Oryctolagus cuniculus: one gene and its partner. The protein of the gene in region 2 binds, or shares a complex with, the protein of the main gene of each other region. Links are inferred from orthologs where the notes say so. Each region holds a gene or a part of one and is shown on either strand. Other genes may lie near its edges. The genes, in order: MCCC2 and MCCC1.

What was found.
Region 1: the proteins of MCCC1 (region 2) and MCCC2 are in contact, whole or in part, in a cryo-EM structure (PDB 8JXM), measured with the Homo sapiens proteins. The link is inferred for Oryctolagus cuniculus from reciprocal best matches to the Homo sapiens genes MCCC1 and MCCC2. Residues at the interface, in NP_064551.3 of Homo sapiens: Glu519, Phe526, His531, Asp532, Phe534, Ser535, Pro536, Phe537, Ser538, Ser539, Ser540, Ser541, Gly542, Arg543, Arg544, Leu545, Asn546, Ile547, Tyr549, Thr550, Arg551, Tyr568, Tyr636, Leu637, Ser641, Glu644; in NP_071415.1 of Homo sapiens: Leu56, His57, Val60, Glu61, Lys64, Asp88, Ile91, Pro93, Gly94, Ser95, Pro96, Phe97, Leu98, Glu99, Gln102, Ile123, Gly124, Arg125, Gly128, Glu130, Arg234, Trp276, Leu278, His281, His282, His285, Lys298, Lys299, Leu300, Ile304.

What each region holds. Positions count from the first base shown.
Region 1 is NC_091445.1:39,381,406-39,390,496, reverse strand, and holds part of MCCC2 (methylcrotonoyl-CoA carboxylase beta chain, mitochondrial), read left to right. Parts: intron 1-1,620; coding exon 1,621-1,748; intron 1,749-3,182; coding exon 3,183-3,295; intron 3,296-9,091. UniProt on the Homo sapiens protein: Carboxyltransferase subunit of the 3-methylcrotonyl-CoA carboxylase, an enzyme that catalyzes the conversion of 3-methylcrotonyl-CoA to 3-methylglutaconyl-CoA, a critical step for leucine and isovaleric acid catabolism.
Region 2 is NC_091435.1:96,603,548-96,611,739, reverse strand, and holds the end of MCCC1 (methylcrotonoyl-CoA carboxylase subunit alpha, mitochondrial), read right to left. Parts: intron 6,186-8,192; coding exon 6,048-6,185; intron 4,531-6,047; coding exon 4,423-4,530; intron 2,513-4,422; coding exon 2,441-2,512; intron 1,671-2,440; coding exon 1,542-1,670; 3' UTR 336-1,541; downstream 1-335.

The DNA of each region.
Region 1 (9,091 bases), on a different chromosome or scaffold from region 2:
TCCAAATGCCTGCAACAGCTAGGGCTGGGCCTGGCTGGAGCCAGGGGCTGGGAGCTCCATCCAGTCTCCCACGTGGGTGTCAGATGCTGCTGCCTCCCAGGGTGCATAGCAGCAGTAAGCTGCAATCTGGGGCAGAGCTGGGATGCACTCCAACCCTGCAGTATTTTGACGTGGACGTCCTGAGCAGGTTTTAACAGCGAGGCCAAAGGCCTGCTCTTCAGCAAACATTTTTTGTTGCTTTCCACGTTCCTGGTTCTAGTTTAGGGGCACAATGGTGAATAAGAAGGACAAAATTTCGGAGTGGACATTTGCCACAAGGGTTATGACGCATAAATAGGAGAAGCACATTGCCCTCGCCTGGGAGCCCAGCTGCTTTTATCCACTTTATTTTCAACAAGGATTCAGGGCGTTACCTTTCAGAATTCTGGAGGTTATAAAATGAGATAATGAAAGCATCGTCAGTGTAAAGAAAATTGAATTTTGTGAAGAATTCAGATGTGTCCCAGATTTCCAGTGAGGAGCTGCTGGTTTTAGGGCTTCCTGGTGAGGCTGCACCGTTTCCCTCCCTGGCTGTCTTTGTCCCCTGCTCTGCTCTTTGTTACCCGTGGGTCCTCGTACCCAGCACACTGGTCTTGGTGAGAAGGAGCACTATTGAGGGCTCATTGTATCTGCGATATGTCTTCAGTGTGCTGTTTTACGGTTTGCATCCGCTGTGACTTCAAGCTAATTTAATGTTGTATTTTAGACGAATTTTAGTTTTATGGAAGAGCATAGACCCGTAATACTGAAGATCTTCTGAAAAATATAGTAAATAAATGCTGGAACTCCTGATGGGTCAGTGTTAATTTTTTTTTTTTTTTTTTTTTTTTGCAAATTTCCTTGCTTAAAGAGAACTCTGAAGGTTTTTTTTTTATTTATTTATTTTTTTGACAGGCAGAGTGGACAGTGAGAGAGAGAGACAGAGAGAGAAAGGTCTTCCTTTGCCGTTGGTTCACCCTCCAATGGCCGCCGCTGCAGCCGGCGCACCGCGCTGATCCGATGGCAGGAGCCAGGAGCCAGGTGCTTTTCCTGGTCTCCCATGGGGTGCAGGGCCCAAGCACCTGGGCCATCCTCCACTGCACTCCCTGGCCATAGCAGAGAGCTGGCCTGGAAGAGGGGCAACCGGGACAGAATCCGGCGCCCCAACCGGGACTAGAACCCGGTGTGCCGGCGCCGCAAGGTGGAGGATTAGCCTATTGAGCCACGGAGCCGGCTTTCTGAAGGTTTATTGTAAAGGAATTCCTCACCCCCAAGACTTGAGTTTTTAAGGTTTTGGGTATTAACATTGTTAGGGTCCTTTCATTCAAGGAACCATCATGAAATGAGCTTACGTTTGTAGTTTTTCAAGTGTGAGTTTGTACCCTCAATAAAGTAATCATTCGGTTTTATATGAATGACTGTGTCAGCCATGACCATTGTCAGGCTTGTTTTGTATCCTCAGACCGGCAGCTAATGGGTGTCACTGGTGAAATGCACAAGGTGTTGAGGCTTACACTGAGCGTCTTGTCATTCGCTACCATGGGCCTTTAATTTTGAAGAAATCACTCACATTCTCTTTCCGATGAAATTTCTGCCTTTCAGAGTAGAGTGCATGATCGTTGCCAATGACGCCACTGTTAAAGGAGGCACCTACTACCCGGTGACCGTGAAGAAACACCTGCGGGCCCAGGAGATTGCGCTGCAGAACAGGCTCCCCTGCATCTACCTGGGCAAGTGACAGGCACCGCACAGTAAGCTGTGGCCGGCTGGGAAAGTGCAAGCCTGTTTAGAAGGCTAGACCCTGACGCTACCAGTTGTTTAAAAAAAAAAAAAAAAAAAGCTATTGATTGATTTCTTCCACAATTATAAAGGAAACACATGTTCTTTCCTGAAAACTCCAGGGGAAATGAACTTCCAGGAATATCCCCTAGGAATATCTTGGTGTGTGCCGTTTTTTTTTTTTTTCTCTCCACACTGTGGATTTTTTCTTCTATATATTTTGTTGTTCTGTTACCCATAATGGGTCCAAACTATGAAAAAAATAGCTAATTTTTATGGATCTCTTTGAGTGCCTGGCACTGTGTTAAATGCTATATTATATAATTTGAGCAAATGTTATTTTAAGTAAATTTAATTTCTAGTGAATTGCTTTAAAATCAGGGGATATTCCAGAAAGAACCTAAAAGCAAAGCAGTTTAGAAAAATTGGCACCTCCTAGATATTGACTTAGTTTGATGAGATTCCAACATACATTGTTCATTTATGCTGGTACTCGAACACAGATACTGATGTAGAGATTTTTTAATCCTGGAAAGTGAATACCTGGTTTACTCACAATGTGAACTGTTTTTCGCATGTACAGAAAATAGCAAATGAAGCCCAGCTGCTTGTGGTCCTGGGCCAGATGCTGGAGGGGATGAGTGAAAGGCATGATGTTGTCTCTGTCTTCAGTGAGCTCATGATGACTTTGAGACAGGAGATGGGGTTAAATAACTATTAAAGACGCAGTGGTCATAGGCAGTAGTAGTAAATGTAGGACTAGCCAAATTTTAACATCTCCTGTGTGCACTCAGAGTGTGTGCCTCTGAATGAAGTGCTTTATATATGGTATTTCACTCCTCCTAGCAGCTCTGTGGGGTAGCTCCTATTGTTATCTTCATTTCACAGGGGAGAGACTGAGGCAAAGCATGGCAAGGAGACACCTGTAACCACACAGCTGTGCAGTAACAAGCTGTGTTTGAACACAGTACCCTAATCCACTGTTTCAGTCTGCGATCAGCGCAGTATCAGAAGGCCTTAAGTGATGAATCGTCCCCATGAATTCCGTGGATGGCTTTTGTATTGGCGTGGAAGAGGAAAAGAAAAATTTTCAGTTCAGTTGGTTAAGAATTTATATTCCTGGATTATCTGAGGACCTTAGCTGGTCTTCAAATGAGAGAATGTCCCAGACATCTCAGCTAGCATTTTGCACAGACGTAGGGAAGCCAGGTGGGTTTGGGACCAACAGTGAGTCCTTCGGGCTGTGCAGGGGGTTGGAGAAAGAGACTCCAGAGTGTGTCTAGAACGTGGCTGTGATCAGGAACCACTACTGTCCTTGAGGCAGGTCCCCTGGGAGAGTGTGTTTTGTTCACAGAGATGTGCTGACTTCTCCCATTTTCCTTCAGTCGATTCAGGAGGGGCAAACTTACCTCGACAAGCAGATACGTTTCCAGACCGAGATCACTTCGGCCGCATATTCTATAATCAGGCAATTATGTCGTCTAAAAATATTACACAGGTAATATCTCACTGGTGAGCTGTATTGCTTTTTTATTCCAAATGTCTCTGCCAATCATATACTCAGGGATGATTTAAAGATAAACTAGAATTTAGGCTTTTCCCACAGAAAGTATCTCAAGATGGTCTCCAGTTAGAACCTTCTGATGATCAATAGGTCTGCCCCTACACTGTAGTAAAGGTTATTTACCTAGGAAAACAGGTTTTGAAAAGAAAGGGCACTTCGTAGTTCCTTTTCTAGGTCTGTTCTGTGGGGAAGTTCTAGTGGATGCATGAAAAAATCTAGACAATAAAAGGTCACTGGGGGTTGGCATTGTGGTGCAGCAGGTTAAGCCACCGCTTATGACACCAGTGTCATATCAGAGTGCTGGTTCGAGTCCCAGCTACTCTGCTTCCAGTCCAGCTCCTTAATAATGTGCCTGGGAAGGCAGTAGTAGATGGCCTAAGTATTTGGGCCCCTGTCAGCCACGTAGGAGACCAGGATGGAACTCCTGACTAGCCTAGCCCTACCTGGGCTATTGCAGCCATTTGGGAAGTGAACTAGCAGATGGAAGATCAATTCCACCCCCTTCCCCCCTTTTTCTGTGTTGTTCTGTCTTCCGTTTGCAGTGCCAGCATCCCATATGGGAGCTGGTTCAAGTCCAGCTGCTCCTCTTCTGATTCAGCTCTCTGCTATGGCCTGGGAAAGCAGTGGATGATGGCCCAAGCATTTGGGACCCTGTACCCTTGTGGGAGACCAGTTAGAGGCTCCTGACTCTTGGCTTTAGATCAGCCCAGTTCTGGCCGTTGAGGCCATTTGGAGAGTGAACCATTGGATAGAAGATCTCTCTCCTCTCTCCCCTCTCTCTCCTCTCTCTCTCTGTCTCTCCCTCTTTCTGTAACTCTGCCTCTCAAGAAAATAAATAAATAAAAAAAATTTTTTTTTTTTTTGACAGGCAGAGTGGACAGTGAGAGAGAGACAGAGAGAAAGGTCTTCCTTTGCCGTTGGTTCACCCTCCAATGGCTGCCGTGGCCGGCGCGCTGCGGCCGGCGCACCGTGCTGATCCGAAGGCAGGAGCCAGGTACTTCTCCTGGTCTCCTATGGGGTGCAGGGCCCAACTACTTGGGCCATCCTCAACTGCACTCCCTGGCAGAGCAGAGAGCTGGCCTGGAAGAGGGGCAACTGGGACAGAATCCGGCGCCCCGACTGGGACTAGAACCCGGTGTGCCGGCGCCGCTAGGCGGAGGATTAGTCTATTGAGCTGTGGCACCGGCCTAAATAAAATCTTAAAAAAAAGAAAAGTTAAAGAGTAACCTAAATGTTGATTAATGTGAGATTAATAATTTTAGTTGTTGAATGTACTCAGATTGCAGCATCTATCAACATAAGTAAGTGTGAAAATATGTTGAATAGAAGCACAGTTGCCATGTCTGTAAAGGTTAATTATATCATATTGTACTGTATACTATATAAGTGTAAACAGGCACATGAGAACAATCCATTCAACTTTAAACAATGGCTTCCTGTAAGGTAGGATCAAGGAGAAAGGGATCAGGTGGTCAGATAGGAGGTCTGTAGGTTTGTAGGGCTTCAATTTATATATATATATATATACACATACATATATATATGTATATGTGTATATATACACACACATTTATACATTTATACATGTAATTATATATAAAAGATTTATTTATTTGAAAGATAGAGTCACAGAGAGAGAGAGAGATCTTCCATCTGCTGGTTCATTCCCCAGATGGCCACAAAAGCTGGGGCTGGCCCAGGTTGGCCCAGGAGCCAGAAACTTCCTCTGGATCTCCCACATGGGTGCAAGGGACCAAGCACTTGGGGCATCTTCTGCTGCTTTCCTGGGCCATTAATAGGGAGCTGGATTGGAAGTGGAGCAGCTAGGACTTGAACCGGTGCCCACATGGGATGCTGGTGCTGCAGGCAGCAGCTTAACTTTCTGTGCCACAACACTGGCCCCAGTTATATTTGAAATATTTTATTCCTTTAAGAAAAAAGATGTGAGATAAATTTGGCCAAATTTATTTATTTATGAAGACTGGGGATTAAGTGAATGGATATTTATTTTTTATCCTCCTACCTTTTTTCATGGTTGAACTACTTTGTAATACTTATGCTCTTCCTTTGTTTCCATTTCCTTGTTGGATTTCTTAAGTCCATATTTTTATTGATGTTCTAGTTAAATCTTTTGACGTTCTATCAGGGGAGTAGGTTGTATTTATTGTAAATTGTAGTGTTGGCAGTGACCTTGCTCACCTCTATGCTTTGTTTATCTAAATGAGAAACTTGAGCTTTGTTGACGCTGCACCTCTCTCCCTCTCACTGTCCTGAATGCAGTTGTTATTACCATCTTGTGTATCATAGGGGAAATCAGCACTTTTAATCTGGTATTACAGCATATCTGTCTTGCTTTGTGTTAGGTCCCTAGAGCTGCTGAAACAAATGACCATGAACTTAACCATGAACCAGGGGCTTAACCAAGATTCATTCCCTGAAGTTCTGGAGGGCAGAAGTTTGAAATGTGGGTGGCAATCTCTGCCTCTCTCTTCCCAGGCCTTTTCCTCTTTGGATGGGTGACTGTTCTTTCTTATAAGGATGCTTGTTATTGGATTTTTTTTTTTTTTTTTTTGACAGGCAGAGTGGACAGTGTGAGAGAGAGACAGAGAGAGAAAGGTCTTCCTTTTGCCGTTGGTTCACCCTCCAATGGCCGCTGCTGCAGCCGGCGCACCGCGCTGATCCGATGGCAGGAGCCAGGATCCAGGTGCTTTTCCTGGTCTCCCATGGGGTGCAGGGCCCAAGCACCTGGGCCATCCTCCACTGCACTCCCTGGCCATAGCAGAGAGCTGGCCTGGAAGAGGGGCAACCGGGACAGAATCCGGCGCCCCAACCGGGACTAGAACCCGGTGTGCCGGCGCCGCAAGGTGGAGGATTAGCCTATTGAGCCACGGCGCCGGCCAACTTGTTATTGGATTTAAGGTCCATTATTATCTTAATATAATCACACACACTCAGGCCCTTTTCCCAAGTAAGGTCACATCCACAGGTCCTGGGGATCAGGCCGTGGTCCCATCTTTTGGGGCTGTTGCTCAACCCACTGTAGACCTCTGTCATCTTGCATGTGTATAATTTGCTTTGTGTCATTGTTGTTCATGTAGCTTCTGTGGAGACTAAAGCATACTATTCTGCTACTATTTATGGAGGATCTGCTGTGAGCCAGCCCTGTGCTGGTAAATGAAGCCAGGCGGGGTCTTTTTCTGTGGAACTCAAAGCTTGAGGTGCTTTAGCATAAAGTCTTTTATGAAAAATGCACAGTTTTTTTGAATAAGCAAAACCTACCTATGATAAAAAATCTAAAATGACTAAAAGTCCTCTGATTGTCTTCTTTTTGCGCTTTTATTTTTGTTTTCTAAAACTTGTAACCCAGTGATTATTTCATTGAGCCACTTCTCTTTGCATTTATTTTTTCTCTTTTATTTAAGCAGGAATTTAGAACCCAAGGCTTCCTGGTTCCCAATTTTCCTGGCCCAGCCCTAGTTCTTCTGGCCATTTGAGGGGTGGATCAGTGGAAGGAAGATTTCTTTCTCTTTGTCTCTGTCTTTCTCTCCCTGTCACTCTGCCTTTTTAAAATAAAGACTTACAGAATTCGAATTACTTTTATACATTCCATGCAAATGTGACTCCACATATGTTGCATCATCACATTCATGTTGTGTGTTAAGTGGTACATATATGTGTGTAAAGATGCTGGCACTTTTCGGGAAGTTATGTCCTTTCTGTTCATCTGCCTTTGTGAAGTGTCTCAGCTCTTCAGGTGACTATATTCATATATATATATATATGCGCTGTGTGACCCCTGGGGAATTCTGATTGATCTTATCAAATGACTTTAGGTCACCTGTCACTGTTTCTCGGGTGACTCCAGTTACAAAGCTCACTGTAAACAGTTTCCAACCATAGGAATATGTGATTATACAGTTTCTACTTTTTGACTGATTGTGAGTATAGTTCATCTCTTTATAATTTTTATACCTGTGTGACTATCATTTGTGTACCTGAGTGTTTATGCTTGCAAAAGTATGTATATTTTTTTTAAAAGATTTATCTTATTTATTTGAAAGACAGCATTAATAGGAGAGGAAGAAAGAGATCTTCCATCGGTGGTTCACTCTCCAAATGACTGCAATGGCTGGGGCTGGGCCAGGCTGAAGTCTGGGTCTCCCACATAGGTGGCAGGGGCCCAAGCACCTGGGCCATTCTTTTCTGCTTTCCCAGATGCATTTACAAGGAGCTGATTGGAAGTGGGGCAGCCAGGACTTGAACTGACACTTATTTGGGATGCCAGTGTTATGCCACAAACCAGTCCCTATCATTGCATTTTTATTGTATAATGTGAGTCATTACCTGTTCTGCACATTTTTTTAATGTTTCTCAAATCCCCCTTTAAAAGCATGTATAAGTATCTTTTAAAGAACTTTTAAAGTGACTTTTTCTAGAATTATACTTTTGAGACTTTAATCTTCGGGGATTTCAACATTCAGGATTGTGGCATTAGGAATTGTGTCTTTGGGATTATGTCCCAGACGATGCCCACTGACCCAGAGGCCAGAGTCTCTCACTCTACCTCATGGTGTTGTCATTTGTTCCCTTTCCTGAAATTCTCCTTAAGTCATGCCTGTAGGGTTTCCCTGTTTTCCTTCTACTTTCTCCTTTTAATTTCTGCAATCTTTGTTGATGATTTTATAAACTGTCATGGCTTCCTTGCCTGTTCTCTCCCTGACCTCTCCTGGTCCTGCCCCCTCAATATCTCTGCTTGTAAACCTTGAGGCTTTGTGTCTCTGAACATTTCTTGCTAGTGTTTTAGTATGAGGTGGTATCTCTGATCTCTGACCTCAGTCCTTGGCCTAGAGCTCCTTAAAACATCAGTGATTTCCTAATGCATAGCGGGTGCCTGCAGCATCTGTTGTTCTAAAGTTTGGTCTTTGACTCTGGTTCCTGATACAGAGCCCCTAAATCCCTTGGAATGTCATGGGAGATGGGAGCATCCCTTATTCTGATGGGGTTACTCTTGGTGGGCTCCTTGAGGGCCTGGTTCCCAGGAAGGCCAAGCCATCATTATAAGGTTGGAGCTTTCAGCTCCACACTCCATTAGAACCACCATGGGGTTCCTCACCCAGCAAGAAGGATCTCTGGGCTTTGCTTCTGTCACCACTGGTGATGGGGTGGACTGTGGCCTCTCGATGGCGGTCTTTGGAGTTCACCTGTGTCCTGATATAAATGGGGATCCTGTGACGTCTCTCTCGGCACATATCTGCATTCCACACTAAACACAAGCCAGATGTGCCTTGAGTGTGGTCAGAAAAGTATATGGCCATGCATCTCACGTCCTTTCACGTCCCCTTAGTGGGGACGGCAGCAGCCTTCTCTTTCTGGGTTGCAGAGCATGTGTCGGGTGTGGGCTCGCGTGAGAGCCTGGTTGTACCACGTGCGTGTGTGTGTGTGTGTGTGTGTGTGTGGGTGTGTGTGTGGCTCCAGGAAGTTGTCAGTGCTCTTTGACCCTGCTTTGCGAGTAGGAAAAGCAGACCCAGTAGCAGAGCTCTTGTAGTTCCTGCTCTTCATCTCCTTTGTGTGTGAGTGACTCTCACATCCTCTTTGTGACTCAGAATTAGATGATGAGCGAAGTGGTGTGACAGTGGCTTGGCATTGATTGCTGACTTATCTGTGTTGGTTTATTTAATTTGTATTTCCATTATCAGTGTTTGCTTTAGCAGTAATAAATTTTTTGCCTGT
Region 2 (8,192 bases):
GCCTGATCATGGCAGCCCAGAGAACTCTCACTCATGCCGGCTCCTAAAATACCTACTTCCGGCACCAGTCATGACCGCAGTCGTCACCTCCACCCACGTCTTGGGAGAGATTGAGTTTCACGTTGCCTGGTTGGGGAGATGGACATTCTAACCGGGCTGTGTCATCAGATTTATTTGAGAACTCAGCACTTCCAATTTTAGTACTACCGTTGGCACCTTCCTTGCCACTGCACTGGTGATGGGACTGCTTCCTTAGCAATCAAGAGACAGAGACCTTTCCCCACAGAACTTCTGACATGCTTATGTTTTCCTTTTCCAATTAAATTACAGGCATCTTAAAGAGATCATCTTTTATCCATTTTTTTTTGTATTCTCCACATTTAACATAGTTTTATGCATTCAGTGAAGGCACAATTTAGCAAATATTTGATGCTGCAATGAATACATGAAAATGCAGAGGGCTGTATAAGTGTCAGTAATAACAGAATCTACACAAAGGTGAAGAACTACAATCCAAAGTGGGCTTTTTTCTTTTTGGTAACGAAAAAATGCTTTCATAAAGAAGTATTCAGCAGTCAGGCATTCTACTTTTACCCATGCTTTCTGTAACAGCATATTTTAAAAATTTATCCAAATTAATTCTTAATACTATATTCTAGTATATAATACATACAACTCATACACATATTTTTTTATGAGCTTAGAAAGTAGCAGCAGTCTAGGTAGAAATTTTCCAATCAAAAAGTAGAAACAAACAGCCATGTCTTTAAACTGCCCAATAAGTTACTCTTTGATGAAACAAAATCTTGGTTGGGCTTTGCTCTGTGGCCATCTGTCTGAAGGATGTTACTGTCCATTTTCATCATGATTGTAACTGGAAAATAATTCATTTAGTTAAATAACTTTTTTCTTCCAATTTTTTTCATCAAGTTGCTATCCCCTTTCCTAAAAATGCTACATTTTATAAAATCTGAGGCAGAAACAATATCTATTGCCAGTAAAAAAAAAAAGCACAATTCAATTTTATTAGTATGAAATATTCTGAGATAATTATATTTGTGACTCAGTGCATGATTCCTTTCTAAGATTCATTTATTTATTTGAAAGGCAGAGATACAGAGAGAGACAGAGAGAGGGCCCCCATCCACTGGCTCACTCCCCAAATGGCTGCAATGGCCAGTCCTGGGTTGATCTGAATTTGGAGCCAGGAACCTTCTCCAGGTCTCCCATGTGGGACTTGGGCCACCCTTCACTGCTGTCCCAGGTGCACTGGCAGGGAGCTGGACTGAAAGAGGAACATCCGGGACTTGAATCGGCGCCCGTAAAGAATGCTGGCACCATAGGCAGCAGCTTTACCTGCTGCACCACAGTGTTGGGCCTCAAGTACACAATTCTTAAATAAGAGAGGTTTGGCATAATCATGTAGTTAAATCATTTAGTTAAAACTGCCTTTTATAAGAACCCAAGAAAAAGCAGTAGGCACTTTCTTTTCAGTATGAGAATAAGATACTACGTAATTGGCCATTTTTCTCTGATGGGGTTTATTCTGATTCCCTTTTGTCAGATTCCTCCTCCTCAAACTCGACCAAAGGAGCATGTCTGTTGGCCTGCGAGCCTTCTTTGTAGAACACTTTCTTTATCGTGCCATCCTTCGGCGCCTTTATGGTGTGCTGCAGAGACACAAGATAGAATAAACAATGATGCAAACACTAATGGGACTGAAAGAGAAAAGGGGAAATATGTAGCCAACTGTTTTGCTGATTCCTAGTCTTTCTGCCCTGCCCAACCTTTTATTATTATTGTTTAAACATCACATGATGTTGACAGAAAAAATGGTGACACTGTTGTGGTATGTTTGAGGGTTGCAGGAATCAATCCTGGGAACCCAGACAGGAGATGATGAGGAAGCTCTGGTCTGGCGAGTAGGTCCCAAACCCAGCTTCACATGAGAATATCACCTGGGATGCTTTCAAACAGTACTGGTCCCCAGGCCCTAGCCTTGGAGATTCCTTGGCTGCGGAAGTAGCTTATAAAAGTTTCCCAGGTGACCGGAATTTTGGCCAAGGGTTGATGACCACAGACCTAAAAGCCTCCATAGCTAATTCAATTTGATTGAGGCTTTTCACTTTGAAAACGACACTTGGAATCCTCAGGGTTCAGCCTTAGAAAACACAAACAGAGAAAGCATCTAGTTGGGCTACTTCCTGCTTCTAAGCTATCAACAATTTCATAATCAGAAATGACAGGTGTGCTTTCCCAAAATTAAGATGAAAATATATTTATGAGAAGGAACACTGGGTTTTGTTTCCTGAAATTAACGCTTCATTGATCCATGACTCTTCATATTTAAAATGGCATTAACTTACAAACGAATGCAAAAGAACATCAGGCTTGAGGTTCCCAAGGTTCCCTTGCCAACAGAACGTGTGATTTCGCTCACCTCCATCTTCATGGCGATCATAACCACTAGAGAATCTCCAGCTTTCACTCTGTCCCCGGCTTTCACAAACACCTAGAGATTCAGAGGATGGGTTACTATCTAAAAACACAGACGCCTTGGTGGTCCACATTGCTGGCATGGAAGTGGAGCAGAAGCAGGAGTCTGTGTGACTATGCTGTCTGCATGGGTGTGAAGCAGCCACCACCAGCTCAATGCAGCACGGCTTAGAACCCCGCGCCCACCTCAGGTCATCAAGTTTTGCTTCAATTAGGTGTGGATACATTTTATCTATCTTGGTATCCTTTTGTTGTTTTCATGGGTGTACAAACAAGAACATCACTAGCAGGGATCCTATTGTTATCTTCAAAAAGTTAATGAAAAAAATGTGTATCAATGAAAAAGAGAAGTGTGGCTCTCAAAGGGTTTTTTTGCATCAAAATAAGCATATTTTTAATTCTATTTTTTCCCATGAACTTTCTGATGTTCCTGGTGTACTTAAATGTCTTCAGCAGACAGGGCAGAGGGAGGTCACGACTGGCTTTCTGGTTTGAGGGGTGTCCAGGCTACTGTCTGAAGTCTTGAGTCCTGTGTAGTATGTGTGTAGACAATTTTCATGTAGGAGAATTAAACTTATTAGCAAGCTGAAAAAGAATTTGTTTTCCTTTTTACAGCCGTAAATGAATTTGCATGTCCCATAAGGTCTCCCTATCTTTTCGGTTAATGTGGTTACCAGAGAGTTTTTGGAAACGTTTCGCAGGAGAGTTAGGTTCAGGTCAGTGAGGACTGATGAGCGTAAGAAGTGGGAAGCACCCCCGAGAGCCCTGCAAATGCCCCACTCCCAGGGTGCTTTAGCACACGCTGATGAAATGAGTGACCTGACTTTAGGGGGCCAGTAACGGGAAAACTGTGCATCTCTATCCACAAGATGAGCACTCCGTGCAGAGGTGCCCACACTATACAGAGGTCTGTGGAAACTAAGACTGAGTGAACTAAAGCGAATCCAAGTCTGCTCGGAGGTAAATTCTTCAAGAGGGGAACAGTGGGTGAAATCATGCATACTTACATAATTATTATCACTTCGTCTGCTTCCTCCTCCCCTTCCTCCTCTACTACTTACACAATCACTATCTCTTTTTCCTTCTGCTACTTTTTTTTTGCATCAAGAAGATACAAATGCATTTCTGTGATTTAAGTGCATTCAAGGTGTAAGAGGAGATTACTGATCCATCACCACTGGGGTTACACTACAGGTGCTATGCACGGTCTGAATGTGTCCCCCCAAAATTCACACCCTGAAATTCTAACCCCCAAGGGGATGATAATTGGAGGTGGGGCCTTGGCGAGGCAGCCCTCAGGAACAGGATTCGTGACCTTCTGAAAGAGGCCTGAAAGAGATCCCTTGCCCCTACCAACTTATGAGAACACTGGGAAAAGACCGCTGTTTATGACACCAGGAAGCCAGATCTCATTAGACGGTGACTCTGCTGGTGTCCGGAGCTTGCTTTCCCAGCCTCCGGAGTGGTAATACGTTTCTGCTTATGAGTGACTTGGTCTACAGCCTTCTGTTAGAGCAGCCCAAAGGGACACGGACAGGATGGATGTGAGTTCTGGATGCACACTGCATTCAACACCAGACCACACTGCTCTTCAGCAACATCAGCTTTTCGAATGTCATCTTAACACACATGCAGTTATGCATATTGGAAAAAAGTTATTGTTTCATGACAAAACAGTCTTTGGTGGATGCTCTATTCCAAATGTAAGAGAACAAACTGGATTCTTTGTACTTTGATGCAAATTCTGACCTTCAAAAAGAGTGGTCTTTATCATAAACTAGGTAAAGGAGTTTTTTCACTGAAAATTATATAATATGGAATTGCAATCTAGAACAAATCCTCTTGCTTTCTTAAAATGGACAAAGTTCAACAAAGGCATGTATTAGGCTTTATTGGACATCATTTTAACAAATGTCGCATGATTACCTTCTCAATGGTTCCCGTCATAGGAGCTACAGTAGCTCCCTGAGTCCCTTCGGAGCTCAGCGAAGACAGGTATTTGGGTACTGGAATGTCAAACTTGATACTCCCCTCCTGTAAACAGAAAAAAACAGAACATGGAAACTAGTTCCTATCACTATATTTTTCTCATATACTTGAAATGATTACTGTCACGCTACTTGTTAAACATTAGCCATCAGAAGATCAGCATTCTAGTCTACCTTCTGTGACTTTGAGGGAAGTACAATTATTCTCAATCTGGCTTTGCCATTATGAAGCAGTGGCGTGCATGCCAGCCAGGTGGTTAACAAAATGAAGTCACTGTCCAGAAGCCATTTAGCAGCATCCTCACCATCACGTGCTGGGTCTACGCAGTCAACGCCAGGAACTGTTCTTAATGTTTCATTAATTATGTCATTAACCATCACACAAGTCCACGAGGTAGGTACTGTTATCATTCTGATTTACAGATGGGAAACTTGAAGCACAGAGTGTCTAACTGCCCAAGGCCACTCAGGCTAAGCGGCAGGGCCAGGATTTGAATCACAGCAGCTCTACCTTCCAGAACTCAGGCTCCTCACCTTGCACTGCCTCCACCATCCTACTGCTACAGTGTCACTGACAATGGAAAGGAATGCCTGGGCAAGTGAGAGCACCCCAGACTCCAAAACTGCCAGCAAACTGAAGACATCATCACAAAGCACTCTGCCCTGCAAGGTGGTCCCACAAGGTGACAGTCCCCCAGGGGGCCACAGTGTAATTGAGAGTTCGTTCTGCAGGGCAGAGTGTGACAGACTCGTTGTGTGGGTGGCTCCTAACCCAATCCATGGAAGCCAGCCCTGACTGTCCTTTGACTGCCTAGAGACCACCAGGAACCCAGCCACCTTCCCTCTGTCAAGAGGCACATCTGGTCCCAGCGGTCGCCTCCTGTAAAATCAACAGGACTCCAAGAGCCAGGTGGAAGGTGGTGTTCAGGCAACCAAGCCCCGAGAGAACACAGCCCACTGAGCCAGGAGGTGCTCCCTGACGAGGGTGCTGCAGGCACTTGTTTCAGAATCCAAGGAAGAAAATGGTTATGTGTCTACCAGAGAGAATCTGCGTGACCACAGGAGTGAACGGAGAGCTAGGGAGGGCAGGAATATGGCAAAGAAATGGAGGAGGAGCCACGGCAGTGGTGGAAGGGAGCAGTGCCTTTCTGAACTCACTTGGGGAAATGCCTCTGTCAAGCACCTTTCTCCTAAACCCCAAGATATAAAGAAAAGACGAGGGGCTGGCGCTGTGGCATAGTGGTTAAAACCACTGCCTGCAGTGCTGGCACTCCAGTTCAAGTCCACTTCCCACTCCCAATCCAGCTCCCTCTGATGCACCTGGGAAAGCAGCAGAAGATGGTCCAAGTGCTTCAGCCCCTGCACCCACGTGGGAGACCTGGAAGAAGCTCCTGGCTTTGGATCAACCCAGCTCCAGCTGTTGTGGCCATCTGGGGAGTGAACCAGTGAATGGAAGACCTCCCTCCTTCCCTCCCTCTTTCTCTGTAACTCTGCCTTTCAAATACATAAATAAAATTAAAAAAAAAAAAACACACACACACACACACAAAGAAAAGACGTTACCATGGAAAATAGGTAGATAGTGTTTTCCAGGATAATGAGCTTGGCTTTATGAGTAACTCCATTAACAGAACACTTCAGGTAAGTGCAATCTCCCTCACTAGAAAGATCACCAAGGACTTGGAAGGTTTGGTCTTCAATCTGAAAAACAAACAGAAAAATATCTTCAAAATCAATAATGACCCCCCAGAATTAATAAAATCAGAATCAATTATTTGCTATTGGTAATTTCAACAGGTAGTACATCAAAACTATTTTTAAAAACCATGGAGAACTTTCCTCAGATTCCTAACCAAAATGCTTTAGATAAAACAGCAATAATTAAAAGGAAATACATCAGTTATATAGCATATCCATGTCACTACAATGCTACAGATAAAGGTTCATTTTAGAAATAAGAGCAATAAAAATGTTAAGTAAAAATACAAATCAAGGTAAGAAAAATTATTGATTCATTTCAGTAACTTTAATGTTAGTACTCATTTCTGAGTGTGCAAAATCAAATTTAATTTTCCTATGCCGAAGTCAGTAATAAAAAAAGAACCAGAACTACATAATTGTATGGTATTTCTTATGAATTTTTTTCAAAGATTTATTTATTTTTTTTTGAAAGTCAGAGTTACAGAGAATGAGAGGGAGGGAGGGAGGTAAGGAGGATGGGAGAGGGAGAGGGAGAGGGACAGAGAAAGAGAGCTTCCATCCACTGGTTCACTCCCCAAATTGCCACAAGCCAGGAACCCAGAATTCCATTTGGGTCTCCCACATGGATGGCAGGAGCCCATGTACTTGGGCTATCTTCCATTGCTTTCCCAGGCCATTAGCAGGGCACTGGGTTGGAAGTGGAGCAGCCGGGACTCAAACCAGCACCCATACAGGTTGCTGGAGTGGCAGGTAGTGGCTTAACACACTGCACTGCAACAGCAGCCCCCACAGATGGTACTTCTTTTATCTAACCAACACATAGGTCCAATTCATGGATATCAGTGACATTCAAAAAGATCAATTAGCTGAAGATAGACCTTAATAATTTTCACAAAGAGACCACATGTGAAAACAGAGTTCACACTCAATGCTTCATGGAAGCTGACAAAACGAAGTGAAACCTTTCTGTTTTAAAGTGTATTTTCTCCCATGTAATACTCCAGGGAAAATTTCCTTTACACACAGAAATCCATTTAAATCTTCTCTCTGTATTTTTCACTTCAATTCCCATGATGTTAGTGTAGAAGTCCTGTGGTTATTCTTTTCCAACATGTAATGTAGGGTAAGGTGAAAGAGGTCACATTGCAGTATTTATCCACAGTTTTCTTCTACCTTAAGTTATATATGATATTTCACCCTGCTTTTTAACCAACTAAAACAGTCATCTGAATGTTTGTGAAATTCTTAGGATGTAAAGGTTAGATTGGGAACACTTTTGTTTAAAGATTTACAAAAGCATTCTAAATTTGTTGGTTCCCCGAGCAAATTGGAACAAATCAGCAATTTATTTTACCAGTCACCAAGGGACATGAAAGGTCCCCAAGCCAGAGGCACCAGTGTGAGTCAGAACCCTCACACACTAAAGTAGGCAGGCTCCCCATGGCTTTCCTGCCCCTTACAGAGAGGAAAGTGTTCAAAGTGTTTGGAGATCTACTGTGTGTCGCCAATACATCCATTTTGCAGGATTCAAAATATCCAAGATCATATTAATCATGCATTTTATTCCCTGAATTTGTACCTTCCTGCAGGAATTTGTTTGAATTCCCACATTATTTTTAACCTTTTAGCATTTTGTTATGCCAGGGTAATGGACCTCTTTCTATGGAGGACAATCATACATTTTTCAATAGAGGTTCTCAAAGTGTGACCTGTAGATCCCTTGCGGACCCCCATACCCTTTTAAAAAAATGTTTTATTTATTTATTCATTTAAAAGCAAAGTAAGTGAGAGAGGAAGGGGGAGAAGGAGAGACAGGGAGAGAGAATCGATCTTTCATATGCAGGGTCACATCCCAAATGTGCACAACAGTAGAGGCTAGGCCAGACCAACGCCAGGATCCCAGAACTCCATCAAGGTCTATGTGTGTAGCAGGGATCCAAGTATTTGGACACCATCTGCTGCCTCCCAGCTGCATTAGCATGAAGCTGGATTGGAAGTGGAGTTGGG